3 linked regions of the Diceros bicornis minor genome follow. The protein of the gene in region 1 purifies or fractionates together with the protein of each later gene. This does not show direct contact. Links are inferred from orthologs where the notes say so. Each region holds a gene or a part of one and is shown in the gene's direction. Other genes may lie near its edges.

What was found. The genes of interacting proteins can lie anywhere in the genome.
Region 2: the proteins of SAP30 (region 1) and BRMS1 purify together in Homo sapiens (affinity purification with mass spectrometry; 3 studies listed by BioGRID and IntAct, with this or other methods). This does not show direct contact. The link is inferred for Diceros bicornis minor from reciprocal best matches to the Homo sapiens genes SAP30 and BRMS1.
Region 3: the proteins of SAP30 (region 1) and SIN3B purify together in Homo sapiens (affinity purification with mass spectrometry; 4 studies listed by BioGRID and IntAct, with this or other methods). This does not show direct contact. The link is inferred for Diceros bicornis minor from reciprocal best matches to the Homo sapiens genes SAP30 and SIN3B.

The regions. Positions count from the first base shown.
Region 1 is NC_080750.1:59,892,687-59,899,691, forward strand, and holds the start of SAP30 (histone deacetylase complex subunit SAP30), read left to right. Parts: upstream 1-3,985; 5' UTR 3,986-4,280; coding exon 4,281-4,601; intron 4,602-6,208; coding exon 6,209-6,334; intron 6,335-6,745; coding exon 6,746-6,844; intron 6,845-7,005. UniProt on the Homo sapiens protein: Involved in the functional recruitment of the Sin3-histone deacetylase complex (HDAC) to a specific subset of N-CoR corepressor complexes. Capable of transcription repression by N-CoR.
Region 2 is NC_080770.1:7,002,204-7,010,062, forward strand, and holds the start of BRMS1 (breast cancer metastasis-suppressor 1), read left to right. Parts: upstream 1-4,858; 5' UTR 4,859-4,927; intron 4,928-4,946; exon of another isoform or gene 4,947-4,967; intron 4,968-7,817; 5' UTR 7,818-7,824; coding exon 7,825-7,859. Other genes in the region: B4GAT1 (beta-1,4-glucuronyltransferase 1), read left to right, coding at 2,385-3,440, 3,674-3,865. UniProt on the Homo sapiens protein: Transcriptional repressor. Down-regulates transcription activation by NF-kappa-B by promoting the deacetylation of RELA at 'Lys-310'. Promotes HDAC1 binding to promoter regions.
Region 3 is NC_080759.1:4,917,483-4,924,705, forward strand, and holds the start of SIN3B (paired amphipathic helix protein Sin3b), read left to right. Parts: upstream 1-4,222; 5' UTR 4,223-4,232; coding exon 4,233-4,337; intron 4,338-4,577; coding exon 4,578-4,684; exon of another isoform or gene 4,685-4,835; intron 4,836-5,972; coding exon 5,973-6,126; intron 6,127-7,223.

The DNA.
Region 1 (7,005 bases):
TAGCTGAAAAAAAACATATATATACATACATACTGGTATATGCATATAATTTTTTTCTAGAAGGAAACAAGAAATTGTTAACATTGCTTGCTTTTAGGGACAGGGATTTGAGGAGATGAGGGGAAACAGGCTTCTGTTTTTCATATTGAACCTTTTATTATTTGAACTTAAAATCATGTTCATATTAGGATTATGGGCCAATTTGGATATTTTTGTAAGTTAAAATTTACAATTAATTGTTTACATTTAATTTTTTATTTAAAAATAAAACCAGAAAAATTCAATCATGTTAAAAGCCTTAGAGAGAAGAAAGGCAGGGAAAAATACTTTTTAAAGAATCATATTTTGAATCTTTTCAGAAAGCAAAGAATATTTTGATGATATCAACAACCCTCCTATAACTTAGGTTTCATAAATCTATATTTCCATATTATCTACTCTGAAGTACATTTATAATGAAGCTAATGGATGTAAAGTTCATAGTCCTTCACTTGGACAGGCCTGTACCTAATTTTGCATTCTTAATTTTATATACTTTTTCTTAAAGACTCAAATTTTATGAGCTTGAAGCTTCCCAAAACGTGGTTCCAACCTTGATTGTAAATTATTCTTAAAGCAAGGAATTCTTACCTGCCCTGGATATGAAGAGTTGTAGAAATAAACAATGAACCACGGTTGTTATGAAAATTTCTTTGTATGGACAATAGATTCACAGAAGAAATACTTTAAATCCGGCATGGAGAATTTACATGTCATCTACTCCAGGAATGCTTTTTACTTGCCAGAAATGAATCATTTCCTCCTGTGTGCTAAGTCTCTCTAATTTTATTGAGGAATGTGTCTTTGTTTGGGCTGCTATAAAAAAAAATACCATAGACTGGGTGGCTTATAAACAAAAAAAATTTATTTCTCACAGTTCTGGAGGCTGGGAAGTCCAAGATCAAGGTGCTGACAGATTTGTGGCTGGTGAGAGTCTGCTTTCTGGTTCATAGACTGCCAGTCTTCTCACTGTGTCCTCACATGGTGGAAGGGATGAGGTTGCTCTCTGGAGCCTCTTTTCTGAGTCTCAAATCCTATTCATGAGAGCTCCAGCCCTCAGGGCCTATTCACCTCCCAAAGATCCTACCTCCAAATATCATCACTTGAGGATCAGGTTTCAACATATGAATTTTGGGGAGACACAAACATTCAGTCTACAGCAGCATGTATCATGTGCTTGTTAAGCTACCCATCTCCCCTACTAAACAGAGAACTCCAAAATGGCTAGGACCCTCTCCCAATTAATTTTGTATCCCCAAGGCCTAGAAAAGATCCTAGTATGCAATAAAGGAGAGTTTAATTGGACCTTTTATTTTTGTGTGTGTGTGCGGAAGATCAGCTCTGAGCTAACATCTGTGTCAATCCTCCTCTTGTTGCTGAGGAAGACTGGCCCTGGGCTAACATCCGTGCCCATCTTCCTCTGGGACCCGCCACAGCGTGTCCTGACAAGGGGTGCGTCAGTGCGCACATGGAATCTGACCCCGGGCCATGGAATCTGACCCCGGGCCGCTAGCAGCAGAGCACGCACACTTAACCCCTACACCACAGGGCGGCCCTAATTGGACCTTTTGAAAAGACTGTATTGTATGTAAAGAAAGCATATAACTACAATTCATCACTTTAGTAAAATTCATATGAAACTGATACGTAACTAAACCATACATACAGTATATACATGAACTAATTTGATCACATTTTGCAGAAGATAGATTATAAACTTTTAAGGGCAAGAACCAAACAATAATTATGAATTATTTAAAAAATACATAAAAGTAGAAAGAAAAAATGAAAATCCAACAACCCAATATCATATTTGTTTCAGATGTTTTTTTAATAAAAAAAAACTTACAAATACCATAGAGACCACCTTTGATTCCCAGATACTATCCCTTGGCCTCTCTCCTTAGAGATGACCACCACCCTTGGAGCATATCCATCTCTTCCACATGCTCTCATTTTTACCATTTAAGAAAATATATTAATAAACGATAGTATTATTCTGTTTTAATACTTTAAACCAGCATTATCTAAGACAAATATGTGAGCCACAAGTGTAATATTAAATGTCATAGTAGCCATATTTAAAAAAATAGAAACAGGTAAAATTTATTTTAATGTTATATTTCATTTAACCCAGTATATCCAAAATATTATCATTTCAACATGTAATCAATATAAAAATTATTAATAAGCTATTCAATATTCTTTTTTTAAAAAATTTCTGGTACTAAGTCTGAAATCCCCTTGGTAATTTATACTTACAGCACATCTCAATTTGGATTTAGATTTAAATTTAGATTACATAAAATTTAAGTTGAAAAAACAGATTCATATATCCAAGTTGTTCCAAATATACTTAAAAGTTTTCCAATAACTGAAATCAGTTTTTAAAATTTAAGTTAATTAAAATTAAATTAACAATTCAGTTCTTCAGTTACAACAACCACATTGCAAGCGCTCAATAGCCACATATGGCTAGAGGACACCCTATTGGACAGAGCAGCGTAAAAAGATAACACAAAGTACTTACCATTCAGCGCTTTTCTTTTGCTTACTCAATTTACGTAATATTTTCTTTCTTTCTTTTTTTTTTTTCCTTTGCCATAGCCTAGAACCGAAGCACACAGATGGAACGGGTGGCTTTAAATTTCAGGGCAGATGACATTATACGTTTAAAAAAAAAAAATCGTCTATCACTAAATTTACTCTGTAAGTCTACAGGAACTTGCAAAATAATACTGCTTTGTATTTTTGTTCAAACAATGGGATTGTTAACAGCATATATCTACCGATAAATAACGACGCAGCGTAACTAGCACAACCGCAGCATTCATATTAGCCGCTCCCATCCTTCTACCCCGCCCTCCACAAGCACACGTCCACATGCACGCACGCACAGACACGCAAACGCGCACACATACACGTACATGCACACATACGCGCACACACATACATGCATACACATACGCATGCAACACAAGCGCACACGCGCGTGCGGACCACCGAGGAAATGTGGCTTATTTCTCTCTTCTCGCTTCACAGAGCGAACGCTGGGGAGTTTCTAGGAAGCACTCAGGCTAACTCGGTATTTGTGGGGTTCCGCGTCCCCTTTTAAATGATATTAGACTCCGCCTTTCTCCAGGTTCATTCGAGGAGAAACTGAAAAGATTGGGGGTGGAGGCGAAGAGAAGCCCTGTTACAGTCAACTAGTCACTAGCTCCACCTCAGGAAGCAGCAGACTTTGCGCCCGCGAACAAAACGCGTTCCTTGCAGGAACGTGCAAGGATTTAGAAACGGCCTTTAGCGGAGGCATCTGGAGGGCGAGAGGTCGGGATGGGCGTTTTCCCGTAAGCAGGCGCTCTGAGCAATTTGGTGCGTCAATGAATGGAGCTGCCAGCCAGATGTGGAGCTAGCTGCCGGACCTCCAGGACCCGAAGAGCGCCAGGTCGCCTGAGTTCTCTTTGGTTTGAGTTTCCCACAAAAACATGGTCGCACCAAAAACTCTTTTTCCACAGATAGAAAAACGGCCCCGAAACTTTTTCCCACACGCTTATTCTCCTCCCCCCGCATTTTGTGCTTCGCCTCAGGAGTTGAGTGACCTCTTTGTCTAGAATGCCACCTCTGCAGAATCCCAGGAGCTAAACACAACACAGCTCCCCGGGAGAGATAAGAAGAGAGAAAACAACGCAACCACAACCACACGCCCCTATTTTCCCCGAGCTTAAAAAAGAAAAAGGGGGAAAAAAAAAACCCGGCCCGCCGTCGCGCGATGCATGCTAGGATAAGTAGTTCCTCCAACCCGCGACGCGCGGCGTTAAAGCAGAGCTCAGGTTGACTCCCCTGCAGAGAACTACAATTCCCGTGGTGCCCTGCTGCAGAGAGGGCGGGAGAGGGCGCTTCGCGCTTGCGCAGGTCGAGCAACCGGAGGGAGGCGGAGGCGCTGTGGTCCAACTGCTGAAGAGTCTCCATGTGACAGTGAGTGGGGTCCCGGCTCCAGGCGCCGCCCGACGCTAGTTCCCGACCCCAAGCCCTGTCCACTGACCCGGCATCGGCAGACACCAGCAGGCCGGGGACACTTGGTGTTGTGCTGTGCTGTCGGAGGACTTGAGGTGCAGAGTGAATTGCCGCCGCCGGGCAGGTGCCTGAGGGACCCCGCCGAGACCCCGGCGTCTCTGGAGAGAGAGGGAGCGGCGAGGCGGGCGAGGATTTCTTTCAGCGCCGGCGCCCCTGAGCGCAGAGACATGAACGGCTTCACGCCGGAGGAGATGAGCCGCGGCGGGGACGCGGCCGCCGCCGTGGCCGCCGTGGTCGCTGCCGCCGCCGCCGCCGCCGCCGCCTCGGCGGGGAACGGGGCCGGGGCAGGGGCCGGGGCTGAGGTCCCCGGCGCCGGGGCGGTCTCGGCGGCTGGGCCCCCGGGAGCGGCCGGGCCGGGCCCCGGGCAACTGTGCTGTCTGCGGGAGGACGGCGAGCGGTGCGGCCGGGCGGCGGGCAACGCCAGCTTCAGCAAGAGGATCCAGAAGAGCATCTCCCAGAAGAAGGTGAAGATCGAGCTGGATAAGAGCGTAAGTGACTACGGGACTGCCCTGCCCGCCCCCTTGGGGCTCCGGGAGCGGTGCAGACGGGGGTTGTTGGGCGGGGGTTTCAGGGGTCCCCCCGGACCTGGTTGCAGTGCGAACACGTTGTGGGGTCTCTGGTAGGAAGCAAACAAAGTCGCTGCAACTCCGACCGCCACCCCCAACAGACACACGCACACTTGCACGCTGCGGTTCCGCTCCTCCCCCCATCCCCCCCGCTCCCTGCCTCTCCCGCTCTCTGTCTTCCCCTTCCTCGTCCGCGGAGATCGGGAAACGAAACAAAGGGGACCGCCCGGAGTAGTTTTCTTGCAGCCCGGCAGCGCCTTCTGGAATGGAGGCGCCTTCTTTGTTTTGCTGCCCAAGCTGGCGTTTGGCACCAGGGAGTAGCTCCCCTCGTCTAGGGAAAGTGGAGTCCCGCAAGGACCTGACCCCGCAGTCAAGCAAGATCCCGCTCCTCGTTCCCCCGAGCACGGAGTGAGAACGAACCCGAGCTCACCCGGCGCCTCGCAGGGAGCCAGGACTGTGAACTGTGTCGGCGGTGTCAGCATCTGGGGCTGGGGCAGCCGCTCCGAACGTGCGGAGCACGTAGCCTCTGCGGGTTTGCCGTCCGCCGGCAGCCATCAGGATTCTTTTCCGTCCTTTGCACGTCTGTTCTTTTGATCCTCTAAAGAGGTTTTTAGAAATAACCATTGCCAGTTTTCGGAGCTCTGCCTGGCGGTAAAGGAATAACAAGATGTCAGAACCTAGCACACGCCCGGCATATTTTTAACTTGCACATAGCTTAGAAGTTAATTTAAAAGCCTATTAGCTCGGTCTTTAATTGGTTTTTAAAGAGTAACTGTTAATGTGAAGCTCCGTGTTTCAGATGTTACTATACAGCTCTCAAGACTATATGTAATGAAAGTTTTTGAAGAGTTTATTTGTGATACTTTCTGCCTGTTAAAACAGTTAGTTCTTCGGTCGTGTTCATGAGAAACTTTTCAGGTAAATTTGAATGATTTCACATTGCTTTGATTGGAAAAACGTAATACAGATAAGTAACATTTAATACTCAGAAAAGTTTATAATTCAAATTTAAATATAGTTAGAATATGAAATCAATAACATTTGTAAAAATGGATAGTTCTGTATCTGGATTGTAATCGGAGTATTAAGAAAGATGAGGAAGCATACATTATGCTACTAAAATATGATCTTTAAGTAGAAAAAAATACTATCAAATAGCGAAATGGTGCGCAACATCATCTTTCCCCTTGTTATAAAACAGGATGACCTAACTAATCTAGTTCACCTTCACTGTAATTTGATGATTAAATCCAGAGGGTTGAAATTTCTCATTCTCCTCTACCTGCCTCCCCTCCTTTACTGTCACCCCTCACCACTCTACCCCCCAATCCTCTTAACAGTGTTGTAAGACTTAGTATGTTTTAGCTGGGTGCAGGACTTAAGAATAGAAAGAAACATGCCATTGTCTTAATGGCTTGTTTTGACTGTTGTTTTTATTTTTAATAATTCACTGTGGCCTATGTATTTTACTAAATATATAGAAACATTTTATTGTAATCATAAGTAGTCTGTGAAATTTTCTGTTTCAGGCAAGGCATCTTTACATTTGTGATTATCATAAAAACTTAATTCAAAGTGTTCGAAACAGAAGAAAGAGAAAAGGGAGTGATGATGATGGAGGAGATTCACCTGTTCAAGATATTGATACTCCAGAGGTAGATGCAAGTTTTTGGATATTAAATGTAAATCCTAAGTAGTCCATTCTGAAACTTTTATAAAAAGATATTAACAAATTTTTTAAATACTTAAAGCATTTGAAAAATCTGAAAATGAAAGCAAAATTAAATATAGCCAGTTAACATGCAGTTACACAATTTTACTTGTTATATTTTCAATTGACACCTCATAGCTGCGTTGTCTTACATCTTTTTTTTGCCCCTAGTTTTTACTATTTATCCTCAAAAGATTAAAGTGTTTAATACATTTTTAGTTTTGATTGTATAAAAAGCTTTTTTAATAATGGAATCAAGTTTTTATTGTGCTGAAATTGAAATGTTATTATACATATTAAAGATAAGTTTTTAACAGATTCTGTGAACTAATTCACGTATGTTAATTTTTTCTAGGTCGATTTATACCAATTACAAGTAAATACACTTAGGAGATACAAAAGACACTTCAAACTGCCAACCAGACCAGGACTTAATAAAGCGCAACTTGTTGAGGTATATATGAGTTTTAAACTATTTAAACTTTAAATGAGCCTGTTCATGCAAAAAGGGTCATTAAATGCTAATGAAATTGTTAACGTAGTGTATATAGTAATATATTTTAGTTAGAAAGATCAAAGTTAATAAAAAATCTATTGTGGAAGAATCTAGTTGCC
Region 2 (7,859 bases), on another chromosome or scaffold:
AGCAGCTCACAGTACTGAGAGAAACCTTTTACTTACTGGATGACAGGTTTATTATAAAAGGACACAATTCAGAACAGCCAGATGGAAGAGATGCATAGGGAAAAGTATGTGGGAAGCAGACTCCTTGTTAATGGTTTTTGATTCTGGTCTTTGATTCTTTCAGGTCCCACTCCATCACTGCCAGTCCCTCTCCCCAGCCAGGCCTCTCTGCCCACAAGAGCAGGCTTTTGGCCTTCCTCTGGGCCTCTCATGTGGCTTTCCTTGATCTTAACACCCCCCCAAGGCCCAGTCACCACTTTTCAGTCTCCCCTTAGACTAGGGCCCCTGGGGACACTTCAGAAGCTTCTTATTTACTCATTCAACAAACACGTCTTGATGCCTGCTGTGTGGCTTGCATTGCAGTGGCCAGGGGGGGCAATGTGGGCAGACGCCCAGGGAAATCTTCAATGGAGGTAGTAAATGGGTACTGTGTGAGCACTGCAGATGAAACACAAATGTTTAAAGCCCCGACAGGAAGGCGCAGGGTTGAGACTTTGGCAAAGGGAGGACTGTTTGCAAAGGGAGAAACACTTTTATGCTCTGGCCAATTGTCACCCTGTGGGAATGCAAGCCTGGCATTGCCAGATCTTCCAGAATTTAAAACAGAAGTTGGAAATGTGAATTATATGTGAAATCTCCTGATTCCCCAAAGTTAACAACTGACGTGATTCAAATTGTTATTTCTAAACACTAAGCAGGTCAAAGAAAACCCCTGTGGCACCAAATCTGCTTCTGAGCCTCCCTGATCCTTATGATGGGATCCACACATACCTTTCTCCTCTCTCCTGGCACAAGTCACCAGTGAAAACCTTCAAGGACAGTACCCTTGTCCCCTGCAAGGCCCCACGCCCGGTGCCTAACACAGCCTCTGCTGCAGAGCAGGTATTATTATTCAGGGCTGCAGAATATAGGTCTCCTGGTCACTTCTCAACTCAACAACCCTGGCTCCCTACTGCCTGTGGAATAGCGGTCAAACCCCTTACCCTGGCATGCGAGCCCTCCTCAGTCTGTCCCAAAGCACCTTTCCAAGATTCACAGGGCTCAAAAAATTATGTATTACATATAGTAATTGATTTAGCAGTCAAAGAACCTGCCTTTCCCCACAGCCTCTGCTCTTCTAAAGAGTCCTTAGATCGTTTATTCCACACTTATTAAGCGCCTTCTGTGTACGCTGGCTGGTGTGAGAATATTCAAGGCCTTCTGCTTAAGTGCGTGTGTTGGGGAGGGAGGTGCGTGGATACAAGGTCTCCGCCCTGGGAGAAGGGCTGCGGGGAGGGGAATCAGTGGGCTGAACAGAGAAATAATTTAAACGATCAAACACCCCTCCCCCCAAGTTCCACTACTTCAGATAGGGAGGGCAGCACCTTCAGGGGGCGTTTCTAATTCCTGCAGTTAATATATTGGCCCCCAATTAGGCATTGGCCAGAATTTTGGTTGTGGTCTTCTAGGTGCCACCCAACCCTTGGCCCTCTTCTGGAGAAAGAAAAGCACACTTCCGACCTTCGCCCAGAAGGTTCAGACACCTGAAGTACGAAGTGGCCAGAGATGTACGACGAACAAAGGGGAGAGAGGCCCGGGCTGCGCCGAACTGCGTCCCATCCTCAATTCCGTGCTCTTTAACCTGCTGCTCCAGAGAAGCGGCATGTGGAAAATTAAGAATGGTCTCCCGCGTAAAACACGACCGACGAGGATGGGATTCGAACCCACGCGTGCAAAGCACAATGGATTAGCAGTCCATCGCCTTAACCACTCGGCCACCTCGTCCCACGTCCAGCACCCCTTTCCACATTCCCTTATCTCTCATCTCCTCCGCACCTTCCGGGACCCCCTGCATCCATTCCTCAGAGCGGACTTCGTAGGACCTAGAAGGGGGAGACGGCAGAAAGAAAACGGCTTTTTGTGTTCCCTTCCACCCGCCGCAGCCGGGAACCCGCGCCATCATTCTCCAAGCCGCAGCCGAGCTCTGGCAAGGTTTCCCCTCCCTGAGCCGGGGGCGAGCTCGCCGGGGTTTCAGGACGCGCTTGGTTCAGGGGGTCGCGCAGTGATCGGGAGAGAGGGGCTATGTGTCTCTGGGAAGCTGGCAGGCGCGGCGGCGCGGCCGCGGGGAGTTTCAGAGTTTGCAAAGCGCGCGGCGCGGGCGGCGAGTGCAGTGGCTCCTCCTCGCGTGCAGGGGGCGAGCTGGCGCGCCTGGAGGCCGGCGCGGGCGGGCGGGGCTGCGCGCGGGGCTCGGCTCGCCTCGGCTCGCTTCGGCCGCGCTCGGTAGGCTGCGGTAAATCCGGGCTTGCGGCTGCCGGCGGAGCCTGCGGCCCGGTGGTCCCTGCTGCGCGCCCTGCGCCCCGAGAGCCATGCAGATGTCCTACGCCATTCGGTGCGCCTTCTACCAGCTGCTGCTGGCCGCGCTAATGTTGGTGGCGATGCTGCAGCTGCTCTACCTGTCGCTGCTGTCCGGGCTACACGGGCAGGAGGAGCAAGACCAGTATTTCGAGTTCTTCCCCCCATCCCCGCGGTCCGTGGACCAGGTCAAGGCGCAGCTCCGCACCGCGCTGGCCTCCGGAGGCGTCCTGGACGCCAGCGGCGACTACCGCGTCTACAGGGGCCTACTGAAGACCACCATGGACCCCAACGATGTGATCCTGGCCACGCACGCCAGCGTGGACAACCTGCTGCACCTGTCCGGCCTGTTGGAGCGCTGGGAGGGCCCGCTATCCGTGTCGGTGTTCGCGGCCACCAAAGAGGAGGCGCAGCTGGCCACGGTGCTGACCTATGCGCTGAGCAGCCACTGCCCCGACATGCGCGCCAGGGTCGCCATGCACCTCGTGTGCCCCTCGCGCTATGAGGCCGCGGTGCCCGACCCCAGGGAGCCGGGGGAGTTTGCCCTGTTGCGGTCCTGCCAGGAAGTCTTTGACAAGCTAGCCAGGGTGGCCCAGCCCGGGATCAATTATGCGTTGGGCACCAATGTCTCCTACCCCAATAACCTGCTGAGGAATCTGGCTCGTGAGGGGGCCAACTATGCCCTGGTAATCGATGTGGACATGGTGCCCAGCGAGGGGCTGTGGAGAGGCCTGCGGGAAATGCTGGATCAGAGCAAGCAGTGGGCGGGCACAGCGCTGGTGGTGCCTGCCTTCGAGATCCGCCGAGCCCGCCGCATGCCCACGAACAAGAATGAGCTGCTGCAGCTCTACCAGGTGGGCGAGGTGCGGCCCTTCTATTACGGGCTGTGCACGCCCTGCCAGGCGCCCACCAACTACTCCCGCTGGGTCAACCTGCCAGAAGAGACCTTGCTGAGGCCTGCCTACGTAGTGCCCTGGCAGGACCCCTGGGAGCCATTCTACGTGGCTGGAGGCAAGGTGCCCACCTTCGACGAGCGCTTTCGGCAGTACGGCTTCAATCGCATCAGCCAGGTGCTCAGAGGGGAAATGGGGCAGGAAGGGTGGTGGGTTCAGGGAGCTATGAGTGGCCCTGAATGGAAAGGAGGCAACGAGGCAGGAGGGATCATAGTTCAGGACGTGGTTGGATGGTGTGGAAGATCCAGGATGCCTCCAGAGTAGTGGGGATGCTGGTGTGCTGCTTTAGGGATGTTAGCCTCAGCTGAAGGAATGTCAACAAACTTGCTGACCTGTCTCTCCCCCCACAGGCCTGTGAGCTGCACGTGGCAGGATTTGATTTCGAGGTGCTGAACGAAGGTTTCCTGGTTCATAAGGGCTTCAAAGAAGCCTTGAAGTTCCATCCCCAAAAGGAAGCCGAAAATCAGCACAATAAGATCCTTTACCGCCAGTTCAAACAGGAGTTAAAGGCGAAGTACCCTGACTCCCCACGTCACTGCTGAGCCCTTCCCTCTCCTAGTCTGAGAAGTCAGCCTCCTCCCTCCTTAGGCCACCCCTCAGGCCTGACAGGGGTGAGAAATTTCACTCCACTTTGCAGTGGTAGCTGTGGTGTTAGAACACTGGACTTGAATATGGGGTGCTGGGATCAAATCCTAGCTTTACCACTAACTAGCTGTGTGGCCTTGAGCAAATCCTGTTCCCTCTCTGAGCCTCAGTTACCCCGTCTGTAAAAAGGGAGGTGAGAATATCTACCTCACAGAACTGTTGGGAGGCTCAGATGAGATGCTATATGTGAAAACATTCTGTAAGCTTCGTACAAATGTAAAGTATTATTAATATTATTACAGTATTATTATTATTAACAGTCTTGGGTGGGTGGGTAGTAGGAGAGCAAAAAGTATGCATGGGACAGAGCTAGAAGTCTGAGTACTTAACAACATGGACTTTTTGGAAAGAAATCAGAGGAAGGCGTTGAATTTAGTTCTTAGGTTTTGGGCAGTAGCCTAAACTTCCTGGTTCTCCCAGCCTTCCGTCCTCGGGGACTCTGGAGAAGGGAAGGGTCTGCAGGTTGTGTGTGTGGTAGTCCGCGATCTCTAACCCTCGAATAGGCTGGGCTGAGTTATTTGCCTGCCAGTGACAATGTGTAAATAAATGAGTGTTCACATCTACAGCTGGCTCCATTACTCTCCTGTACCGGGCGGGCGGGGAGGTCCCGGGTTCGCCCCTTTCACGCCGGGGGTGGGAGATGGCCGCGGACCAAGGGGCGACGGCTGCAAAGCAAGGAAACCACAAGGGCCTTTCCCGCCGGCTGAAGACCTCTGTGCATTTCGGCCGGTTGCTATGGAGACCGGCCCGCAGTATCCCAGCATGCCTTGCCCCGAGCTGTCCAATTATGAGCTCTCCGACGGGCGCCTCCTGATGATGCATACGGAAGCGCAGACAAGCCCCGCCTCCCGGAGAAGAGCGCCGGCGCAGCGCTTCCGGGAGTCCGGCGGCCAATACCCGTAGTTTCGGGGTCCTCTTTGGGAGTCGCGGACGTGAAGCCAGAGGACCCACTCTCCGCGGTGCGTATCGCCACCCCTGGTCCCTGGTTTCGCCTCTTCGGTCAGTCGGTTCGGAGCCGGCCCAATCTCCAGGGCCGAAGGGGAGACTTAACCGGCTGGATGCTTGGGGAGCCGCAGCTGGCTGCGGAAGAGCCAGTGGCGGGAGGCTTCGGCGCCCCGCGGAGGGGCTGTTGGCCTCTTCGAAGGTGGGGAAGAATCTGCCTTACATGGAGGCCTGCCCTCGAAATGGTTACTTTCTGAAAAGATAAATTGCATGTGCACGGCGCCTTACAGTTTGCTTTTCCATCTCTTACCCTTTGCGATCTTTACAACACTTAGAGTAGCAGTGCTTGTCCTTTTTTTGCACCCGAGGTGTGTGTGTGTGTGTGTGATTTACTTTAGTTCACTGAGTAGAATCAGCGACAGCTGGAGAGACTCCCTCCCTCCGCCGCCCTTTCTGGTCCCGAAAGGTAGGACTTAAGTCGCGTCTTACAGAGTAAATATATTTAACGGTTAAGAGGGATTGCGAAATTTGGGAACTGCAAGAACTGAGGCTTGAGAACGGGAAAGATAAGGCTGGTTTGGTGAACCCAGGTTTTCAGGTCAGGTTCAGATCGTTTGTGAAATCATTGAGGAATGTGACTAAGCTGCCCTCTAGGCTAGTTATTTACACAACTCGAATTGGCCTCCGGGAAAGTTAACAGAATATTGGGTTTGCTACCACTACAGGGGCCTGACGCTACCAAGAAGTAAAAGCCAATCCCTGCCCCGCAAAAGTTTGTTTTGTTTAATTTGTATTTGCAAATCCACCAGTTACCAAGTGAGTCAGTACTGTGTTAGGTGAATACGGCGCATGTGCAGCCCTGCCCTGGTGAGGCTTACAGAATGGCTGGGGAGACAGGCATGAGAATGGACAAATAGAGAGGTGATGTAAGCAGATAAAGCTTCCTGGAGGGAGTGTTGTCTACAGTGATCTAAAGGACTACAAAGCAGGGCCCAGAGAGTTTGGGAAAACATCACAGTGAAATAGAAGCCCCCAGCAAGCGGAGATTATCTGTTGAGAGGACTGTTGAGTCTTCCTCTCAGGTGATCTCTTGGTAACATTTGGCCCTGTCACTGCTCCATCCTTCTGAAATTCTCTCTCCCCATAACTTTGAGTTTCTCTTCCTCCACCTCTTGCTAATTTCCTTCTCCTTTGTAGAGGTTGCATCATCTGTCTGTTTGGTGACCCTGGGAGTTCCATCATGGGCCTCTTCTCGCTCCACACATTCTGCCTTGCTGATTTCACCCTCCCTCAAGACCTGAAAAACTCGCTAGATGCTGATGACCAGATTTCTGAGCCCAGATTTCTCTCTGAGGCTTAGATCCACGTGACCCCAGCTCTGCTCCTTCTCTCATTATATGCTACTCACTGTACTTGGAATGTTCCTTCCCTCAACCAGCTCAGCTCCTCGGTCTGGCACACCTTCCTCTGCAAGCCCTCACTGCTGCGGCAAGCTCCAGGTTTCTGTTAGATGCCTCTCCCATCTGCCTCCAGTCTCAGCTCTTCTCACACCACAATAATGGTCTGTTTCTTTGCCTCTCTCTCCCAGGAACTTGTAAACTCCTTGAGGTCAGAGACTGTCTGTCTGTCTGTCACAATTGTGCCCAGTACTACCATAGTGTCTGATGGTACCTAACATATATTAGATTTTTTAGTAAATAGTAGATGAGTGAGGGCCGGCCCCGTGGCTTAGCAGTTAAGTGTGCGCGCTCTGCTACTGGCGGCCCAGGTTCGGATCCTGGGTGCGCACCGACGCGCTGCTTCTCCGACCATGCTGAGGCCACGTCCCACATACAGCAACTAGAAGGATGTGTAACTACAACATACAACTATCTACTGGAGCTTTGGGGGAAAAAAAGGAGGAGGATTGGCAATAGATGTTAGCTCAGGGCTGGTCTTCCTCAGCAAAAAGAGGAGGATTAGCATGGATGTTAGCTCAGGGCTGATCTTCCTCACAAAAAAAAAAAAAAATAGTAGATGAGTGAATAAAAGAAAGACTGCTTAGCAGTGTTTAGTGTTGCTGCAAAGTCAACTAAGATAAGCACTGAAAAATGGCACTAGGTACAAAGAGGTCCTTGGTTAACTCTACAGGAGTAGTTTCAGCCAAGCGATGGTACTGAAATGGACTGGAACAAGCTAGAGGTGAAAGAGTAGGACTAGCAAGGGTGCACAAGGCCTTGAAAGTGTAGATGAGAGGCAGACAGCGGGGAGCAGTTCAGTGGAATGGGGTGAGGTTTTGTGTTGCTGCTTTTTCTAAATGGTGGACAATCCCTGAGCGTGTCCACAGTGTCATAGGAAGGAGCTGGCGAGAGGGAGAATTGAAGATACGGAAGAAATGACATGAGATCCCACAGGAAGCAGAAGGAGATGGGATTTGACCCAGAGCCCAGTGAGAAGACAGGAAGATTGTCGAGTGTTCTCAGGAAGGGAAGTGGAGGGTGTGGAGCACGAGAAGGGGGGAGGAAGTGCATGGTGTATGTGAGAACTGGCCATTAGATGGTGGGGTGAGGAGCTGGACCAGTAGTCCAAGTCTAGTCTTTGCAGGGCTTTGAAAGCCCCAGTCCCAAAGGCAGTGGGGAGCCCCCCTTGGCCTTTTCCATCTTATGAAGCATCACCTTGGCCAGTATTCCCAGGACTGGGATCACTAACAGTGGCCAAGGGCCTGGGCGTTTCTGTGGCTCCCACACTTCTGGAAGATGTGCAGACAGGGCCGCTTGCAGCCTCCCCACCCATCATGTGCTCAGGGTGTGGTGCGTCCAGTCACTTCCCCAGCTGTCCCTGTCTGTGGTCAGGCTTGGTTTGACTCCCCACGTGGCCGCTTTCCTGCTCGGAGCTGCGGGCTGTGAGTGATGGCTCCACTCCTCGCAGAGCCCAGATGCCCGTCCAGCCTCCAAGCAAAGACACAGAGGA
Region 3 (7,223 bases), on another chromosome or scaffold:
AGCTTTATTGAAACACAGCCATGCCCATTCACGTACCTATTGCCTATGGCTGTTTTCATGCTACAGGAACAGAGAACGTATGGCCCCAAAGCCAAAAATATTTACCATTTGGCACTTTACAGAAAAGTGTGCTGACCCTGATCTTAAGGTTTGATTAGATTCAGGGTAAAGATTTTTTTAAATAGACTTTTTTAGAGCAGTTTTAGGTTCACAGCAAAACTGAGCGGAAGGTACAGAGATTTCCCATATGGCCCTGCCTCATGCATGCAGAGCCTCCCCCACTACAAGTGCTACATTAGTTACCCTTGATGAACCCACATGGACACATCATAATCAGAGGGGAAACATTTGTGACAAGGCTACTTCATAGGAGTGTTAGTTGCCTATTACTGCATAACAGATGACCACAAACTCCACAGTTGAAAATAACAGCCATTTATCATCCCACAGTTCCCGTGGGTCAGGAGTCCAGCCACAGTACGGCTGGGTTCTCTGTGCAGGGTCTCACAAGCTGTCATCCGGGCTGGAATCTCATGGAGAGGCTTAGAAACCCCTTCCACGATCACTCAGGTGGTTGGCAGAAGTGAGCTCCGTGCAGCTGTAGGACTGTGAGCCTCAGTTCCCAGAGGCTTCCTCTCTCCATAGGCATCTCCCCACACAGCTGCCTCCTCCTTCCAGGCCAGGAGGGTCACACCTGTCTGCTGCTGCGAGGCTCTGACCTCAGACTGTCTTTTAAAGGGTTCCCCTGATTAGGTCAGGCCCACCCAGAATAATCTCCCTTCTGATGAACTCAAAATCAACTCATTTGAGACCTTAAATACACCTGCAAAATCCCTTCACCTTTGCCATGTGGCATGCCCTAATCTCAGTCCAGAGTGGGGGATCAGATAGGGCATGCACACCAGGGGTGGGACTCTCTGGGCCCATCTTAGAATTCTGCCACAAGTCGTGATTCTGGGCTTTAGAGATTTTTGTCATAAAGCTTACCACCTGAGAAGACTTAGATTAGTTCAAAATAGGATCTTTTGATCTTGTCCTCTCAACCTTGCTAAAATACCGTCCAACGAAAGACCTACTTGCGAGTCTTATCTTAATGCCATTAAATCTGTGAAATGGTAAGGAAATTTGTGTTCCAGTTTGGTCTATCCAAACTGTCAACTCTAAGGTGTTCAATTTAATCTGTGTAGATGAGAATAGTAAAGGAAAAAATTCAACTTAGCAACTTTTTATGCTTTATAAAAATAAGAATGAAAAATGTATGTGTACCATTGTCCACATGTTGAACACACACTCACACACACACGTGCATACACACGTGCCCACAGGGAACTGGCTTGTGGTTTCCTGTTCTCCGAATGACTGAGGGCTTCCTCTGACCATATGAGATCTATGGAAAGTATGAAAAACTGACAGTGGTCCTTGAAATTTGAACAGAATCCACTCCTTGGGGAAGGGGGGCACTGTTGTGAGGACCCTGTTGGCATGTCAGATGCCCACACAGGCCTTTGGTCCTCCAGGACAATGACTGATAGGTTGCCAGGCAGAGTTAGTGTGAAAAGGACTGTCCAGACATCTGGTGGCCTCAAAGGGTTTGGGCCACCTTAGCTGCTGTTCATATGGGAATGCGCTGAAACTAGGGAGGATTCCTCCCTGGGCTGGGAGCCAGTATCATGGATGCTTCCTTCCCCTCACCCCGCACATTCACCCAGCACCACATCATTTCTGCTTTACCTTCTAAATATCTCTCTCTTCCATCCCCTCCTCTCCACCTCCACTGCTCCCTTCCTGGTCTAAGCCACCAGCATCCTTTGCCTAAAGGATGAAACAGCCTTCCTGCACCGTCCCTGGCGCCCCTCCCATCACTTCCCTGCAGAGCAGCTGGAGCATTCGCTTCTACATTCAAAGCTGCTCACGCAGCTCCTTGCATTAAACCCATGCGGTTTCTACCAGCGCTAAATGCCAAGACCAAAAGCCTTCACTCGTCCCAGAAGGATGAGTGGACTGCCCTCGCTGGCCCCTCCATGCTTATCCTGCACCCTCTCTCTCCCCTTCCCATTCCTCTGCAGTCTGAGAACACTGGTCTTTTTTTTTTTAAGTTATTCACATGTGCCAAACTCCCTCCCACCTGAGGGCCTCTGCACAGCTGTTCTCTCTGACTTTTCTCATGGCGAATGCATATGCATCCTTCAGATCTCACTTAGAATGCCACCTCCTCTGGGAAGCCTTCCTCATCCCCTGCTAGACTGGCTCAAGTCCCCCGGGTGGCAGGTGCTATTTTCCAAAAATGGTCATGGCAATATTTCTTGTCTCCCATACTATTCCAGAACCTGGCCACGCCCCAGGTTCTAGAGTCTGTTTGCCCTCCTCTTGAATTTGGGAGGGACTTTGTAATGGTCATTATGCAAAGATTGCAATGGAGATGATTCTGCGTGACTTCCGAGGCTGGATCAGAAAAGGCAACGTGGCTTCCACCTGGCTCACTCCCTCCTCGCAGATGACTGTTCTTGGAACCCAGCTGCCATGTTTTGAGGACACTGGGGCTGCGTGAGGAGGCCACATGTAGGTGTTCCCGGCAACAGCACCAGCATGGGTCTCAGCCTACAGCCAGCAGCAACTGACAGAAAGATGGAGTGAATAAACCTTCAGAAGGCTCCAGTCCCAGCCACCCAGCTGACACCAAGGGGCCAGTGATGAACTATTCTTGCCAAACCCGCCCAAATTGCAGATTGGAGTGCAAAATGAACGTTGTTGTCATTCTAAGGCTCTAAATCTGGGGTGGTTTGTTATACAGCCATAGTAACTGGAACATAGTAACTGTTACACTTGTACTTTCTCTTTGAAGTGTCTGTTACAGTTGAAGCTTTACATTTGTGTGTGTGATTATTTGATTCCTCTCCTTCTTGAAACACTGAAAACTCTATGAGGGCAAAAGCCTTGTCAGTTTTGGTTACCATTCTATTCCTGACAGCCCAGCACAGCGCCTGGCAGATGATGCACTCATTGCCAGTGTACACTCAGCTTTCCTGCACCTCTTCACATACAAAAAGAGATGCCATTTTGTCATGGATTGAATGTTCATTCCTTTAATAAATGCTCACTGATGTGGCTCTGTATCAGGAATTTGTGTTAGAGATGAAGCACAAAATGCAGGTGATGTACAAGGAACTGTGGGAGGGCAAAGGGGGGCTGGGGTAGCTTCCTGAAGGTGGGGACATTTGGGTTGTGTTTTGAAGGATGTTTAGGTATTTTCTGGGTGATGAAGAGATAGAAGAGGGCAAAGGAAATGGTATGTGCTGATGCATGGGGCCAGGGAGCAGCCGGGCTGGGCAGGCATTGGCAGGAGGTTCTGCACAGATAGGGAGGGCAGCTTGCTTGGGTGGGAAATTCTGCAAGAAAAAATTCACAAGGGTCAGGTTCTTATGGCCTTCAGTGCTGCGTGTAGGTGCTTAGATTTCTCTCACAAGAAAAAGGAAGACCTTGGAGGTTTGGAAGCAGTTGTGGAACGATCTCAGTTCTTGACAGCACTGGGGCTGGGAAAACCGGTGAAGAGGCTGCTGAACTGGTCTAGTGGGGAAGCGACGGGGTCAGGACGAGGGGAGTGAAGACAGGAGGAGGCAGACTAAGTCAAGAGCCATTCAGCAAAACTTCACCGCGCAGGACCCTATGTTAGGGTGCTGTGTGCTCATACCCCATTGTCACATCAACCCCATAAAGCACAGGGTTTTTCCACGCACTGCATAAAAATGTCCACAAACGTTTTTTAGTAAATATATCAGGCTCTGCAGATCTTAGGGTTTGTCACAGCTATTCACCCTGCTGTTGTAGCGCAAAAGCAGCCAGAGATGATAGCATGTAAACGAGTGGGCGTGCCTTGTGCCAATAAAACTATATTATACAGACACAGAAATTTGAATGTTATAGAACTTCCAAGTGTCACGAAATAATGTCTTCTGGATTTTTTCCAACTTAAAAAAAAAGTAAAAACCATTCTAAGCTTGCTTGCGGGGCCGGACAAATGCAGGCAGCACGTCTTGCTTTGCCCAACCGTGCTGTATAAACCGCATACCGCATTAATCAGTATTTCGGTTTTAGGGGCAAGATCCCACAGCGAAGTCCTCAGGAGCCCCGCCCCTCCTTAAAGTCATCAAGCCCCGCCTCCGGGGCAGAGCCTGCGCATGCGCAGCCGGCCCTGGGGGGGGGGCGCGGAGCGAGCCGCGGCTCCGACTTCCAACATGGCGCATACTGGTGGCGGCGGCGGTGGCCCCGCGGGCCGGGGGCTGAGCGGCGCCCGCTGGGGTCGCTCGGGCTCCGCGGGCCACGAGAAGCTGCCGGTGCACGTGAGTGGCGCCCCTGCCCTCCCGGGGGGGATCCCGTTGTCCGGCCCCCCCAGGCCGGCGCTCCTCACCCGGGCCCCGCCCGGCCCCGCCTCGGCCTCCCCTCTGGGCAGCCCGGGACCCCGGACCCCCGGACCCCTCACCTCGGGCCTTCGGAGGCCTGGCCTGACCCCCTCCCCCCCAGGGACCCTCGTTCCTTCCTCCGCCGACCGGGACCCACTGGGACCCTCCCTCTCCCCGCAGGTTGAGGACGCCCTCACCTACCTGGACCAGGTGAAGATCCGCTTCGGCAGCGACCCTGCCACTTACAACGGCTTCCTGGAGATCATGAAGGAGTTCAAAAGCCAGAGGTACCGGCGGGCCCCTCCCTGCCTGGGGGGCCGCCCTAGGCCGCAGTCGGACCGAGCCGGCTGGGAGCCCCCAGCCCCGCTGCCCCCAGCCCGGTGACCTTGCGCAGGTCGTCGAACCTCTCGGGGCCTCCGTTCCTTCTAGAAAAGGAGATTGGAGAGGCCCCTCCCTCCCTCGTGGAGCTGCTGTGGGGCTTCCTGGAAGAAGGGCAGGGGTCGGGGAGAGGCGACGGAGGCGGGTCCAGCAAGCACAGGGTCGGATCCCATCTGTAACTCAAAATGCTGATTTTTAAATGAATTTTGTTCATCAAGAATTTTTTAAATTAATTTTGATTTTTTTCCACGCACTGTATTAAAATGTCATTCATCTTGATTATTGAATGTTTTGGCTCCCTCTCCCCCTTAAATCTTATCCCCAAGATGAGTGCCTCCCTTGCCTCACCCTGGTATCAGGCCTGCTGGAAATAATGTGCATAAAACGCCCGGTAAGAGACCTGGCACGTAGAAAGGATCAAAAGTACATTAGCTGTGTTTTGTAGGTGAAGAATCGGTAGGTTTAGAGATAGACGGGGGACCTCATGATCACCCCCTTGTTTGACAGAAGGCTCACTGAGGCTTAGAGTGGGCCAGGGGCTTGCCCTGACCCTCCTTAGGGGCAGAGATGGCACTGGAACTTGGGTCCTCTGGCTCTCAGGTTCTCGACTGTCACGTCCTCACCATGGTGCTGCCCTCTTTGAGGAAATGTGGCAGGGTGGCTAGGGTTCCTTCCGCAAGTGGGATGCTAAGGCCTTGGGTCTTGACTGCAGCCATGAAGGCGACCCCTCTCTGCCCTTGCATTCTTACCAGACTCCACGCTTGCAGGCTGTTTGGTATTTATGTGTTGCATTCAGTTGTTGGGATCAACTCCTGTGGCATTGTTGATCCCTAATTCGTACGAAATGAAGGAATTTATCACATCACTTAGAAGGCTTTGGCCTCCTGCCACTTTTTGGAGTCCAGGACTGGCAGTTGCACTCCTGACATTTTCAGAACCAAGCTCATGTGCTTGGAGTGTTTGGGGAAGCTGTGTGGTGTAGATATTCTGTGGTTCTCGCCAGGAGGGCACAGGGAGCCCAGGCCTGGCTGCTCTCATGTTAGATCACTGCCCGCAGAATCCTACCAGTCACATTTTAGGGTGCATCGTGCCCAGTCCAGAAGCTGGTTACGTGGCACCGTCAAAGGAGTCGGGAGTAGATTTCGCTTGTAATTTGCTCCGCAAGACACTTTTGCCCACTGCTGTTCTTTGTTCCAGCATCGATACTCCTGGAGTCATCCGCCGCGTCTCACAGCTCTTCCAGGAACACCCTGACCTCATTGTCGGATTCAACGCCTTCCTTCCCCTCGGGTACAGAATTGACATTCCGAAGAACGGCAAGTTAAACGTACAGCCGCCTCTGTCGAGCCAGGTATGCAGCGGCAGTGGTTGAGTGACCTCGGCCCTCACGTGGCCATGCTGGTACTCAGGTCAGGCAGTGGGCCTCATGTGTCTCCTTGCCGGAAAGCTGGTGAAGAGCTGATGTTTTTCTAGGCGTGCTAATCGCTTCTAGCACAAATAGATCAATAGATCAAAACACCGCCACAGGCAGCCTCTGCATCCCAAATTGATCCTTTTGGAGGGTTTAAATGTAGAGTGGATGTGTTTGTGTGTGTCAGGGAGGCATTCTCCTCACACAGTTTTATGTCCAGTCAAAATAACGGTATCCACAGTCGCCAAGGGCTTGGCTTGAGGCTGTCCTTGTGAGGGCGCTAGGCAGGCCACGCTTGTGCTTGGGCATGTGGTCCCTCTGGTCACCCTCCATGCCACGCACAGAAATAAAGCGGTTGAGATGCGTGTATGAATGACCGTTTTTATTTTTGCTGTGCTGCCCGCCCCGTGGCTTAGCGGTTAGGTGCGCGCGCTCCGCTGCTGGCGGCCCGGGTTCGGATCCTGGGCGCGCACCAATGCACCGCTTCTCCGGCCATGCTGAGGCCGCGTCCCGCATACAGCAACTGGAAGGATGTGCAACTATGACATACAACTATCTACTGGGGCTTTGGGGGAAAATAAATAAATAAATAATTACCAACAGGGCGTTTGGCTCAGCTCAGGTTTGTAGCTTTGGTCCTTCTCTCTTGGGTGACAGCTAACCTCTGTAGTCCCTTCTTGCTTGATCTCACCAGACCCCCTGAGAAAAAGAACGCCTATTTGAGCTTTACTTTTCTAGGGTAACCATTTTTTTTTTCTCCACCTCGGCCCTGTTGCCATTTCAGGCATAATGTTTTGCGGCAGTGGGGCGGGGTGGGAGTGAGGGTGGTGCGGGCTGTCCGTTGCCGTAGGGATGTTTAGCAGCATTCCTGAGTCCACACACTAGGCCCTCACCCAGTGGGGACAGCCAAAAATGTCCCCAGACATTGCCAAGTGTCTGCTGGGGGCAAAATCCTCCCCCCACCCCCAGGGGTTTTAGCAGAGAAGGTAAAAATCTATGCAGGAAGCATTTTGCAGGTTTCTCCTCTGCTGAGGACG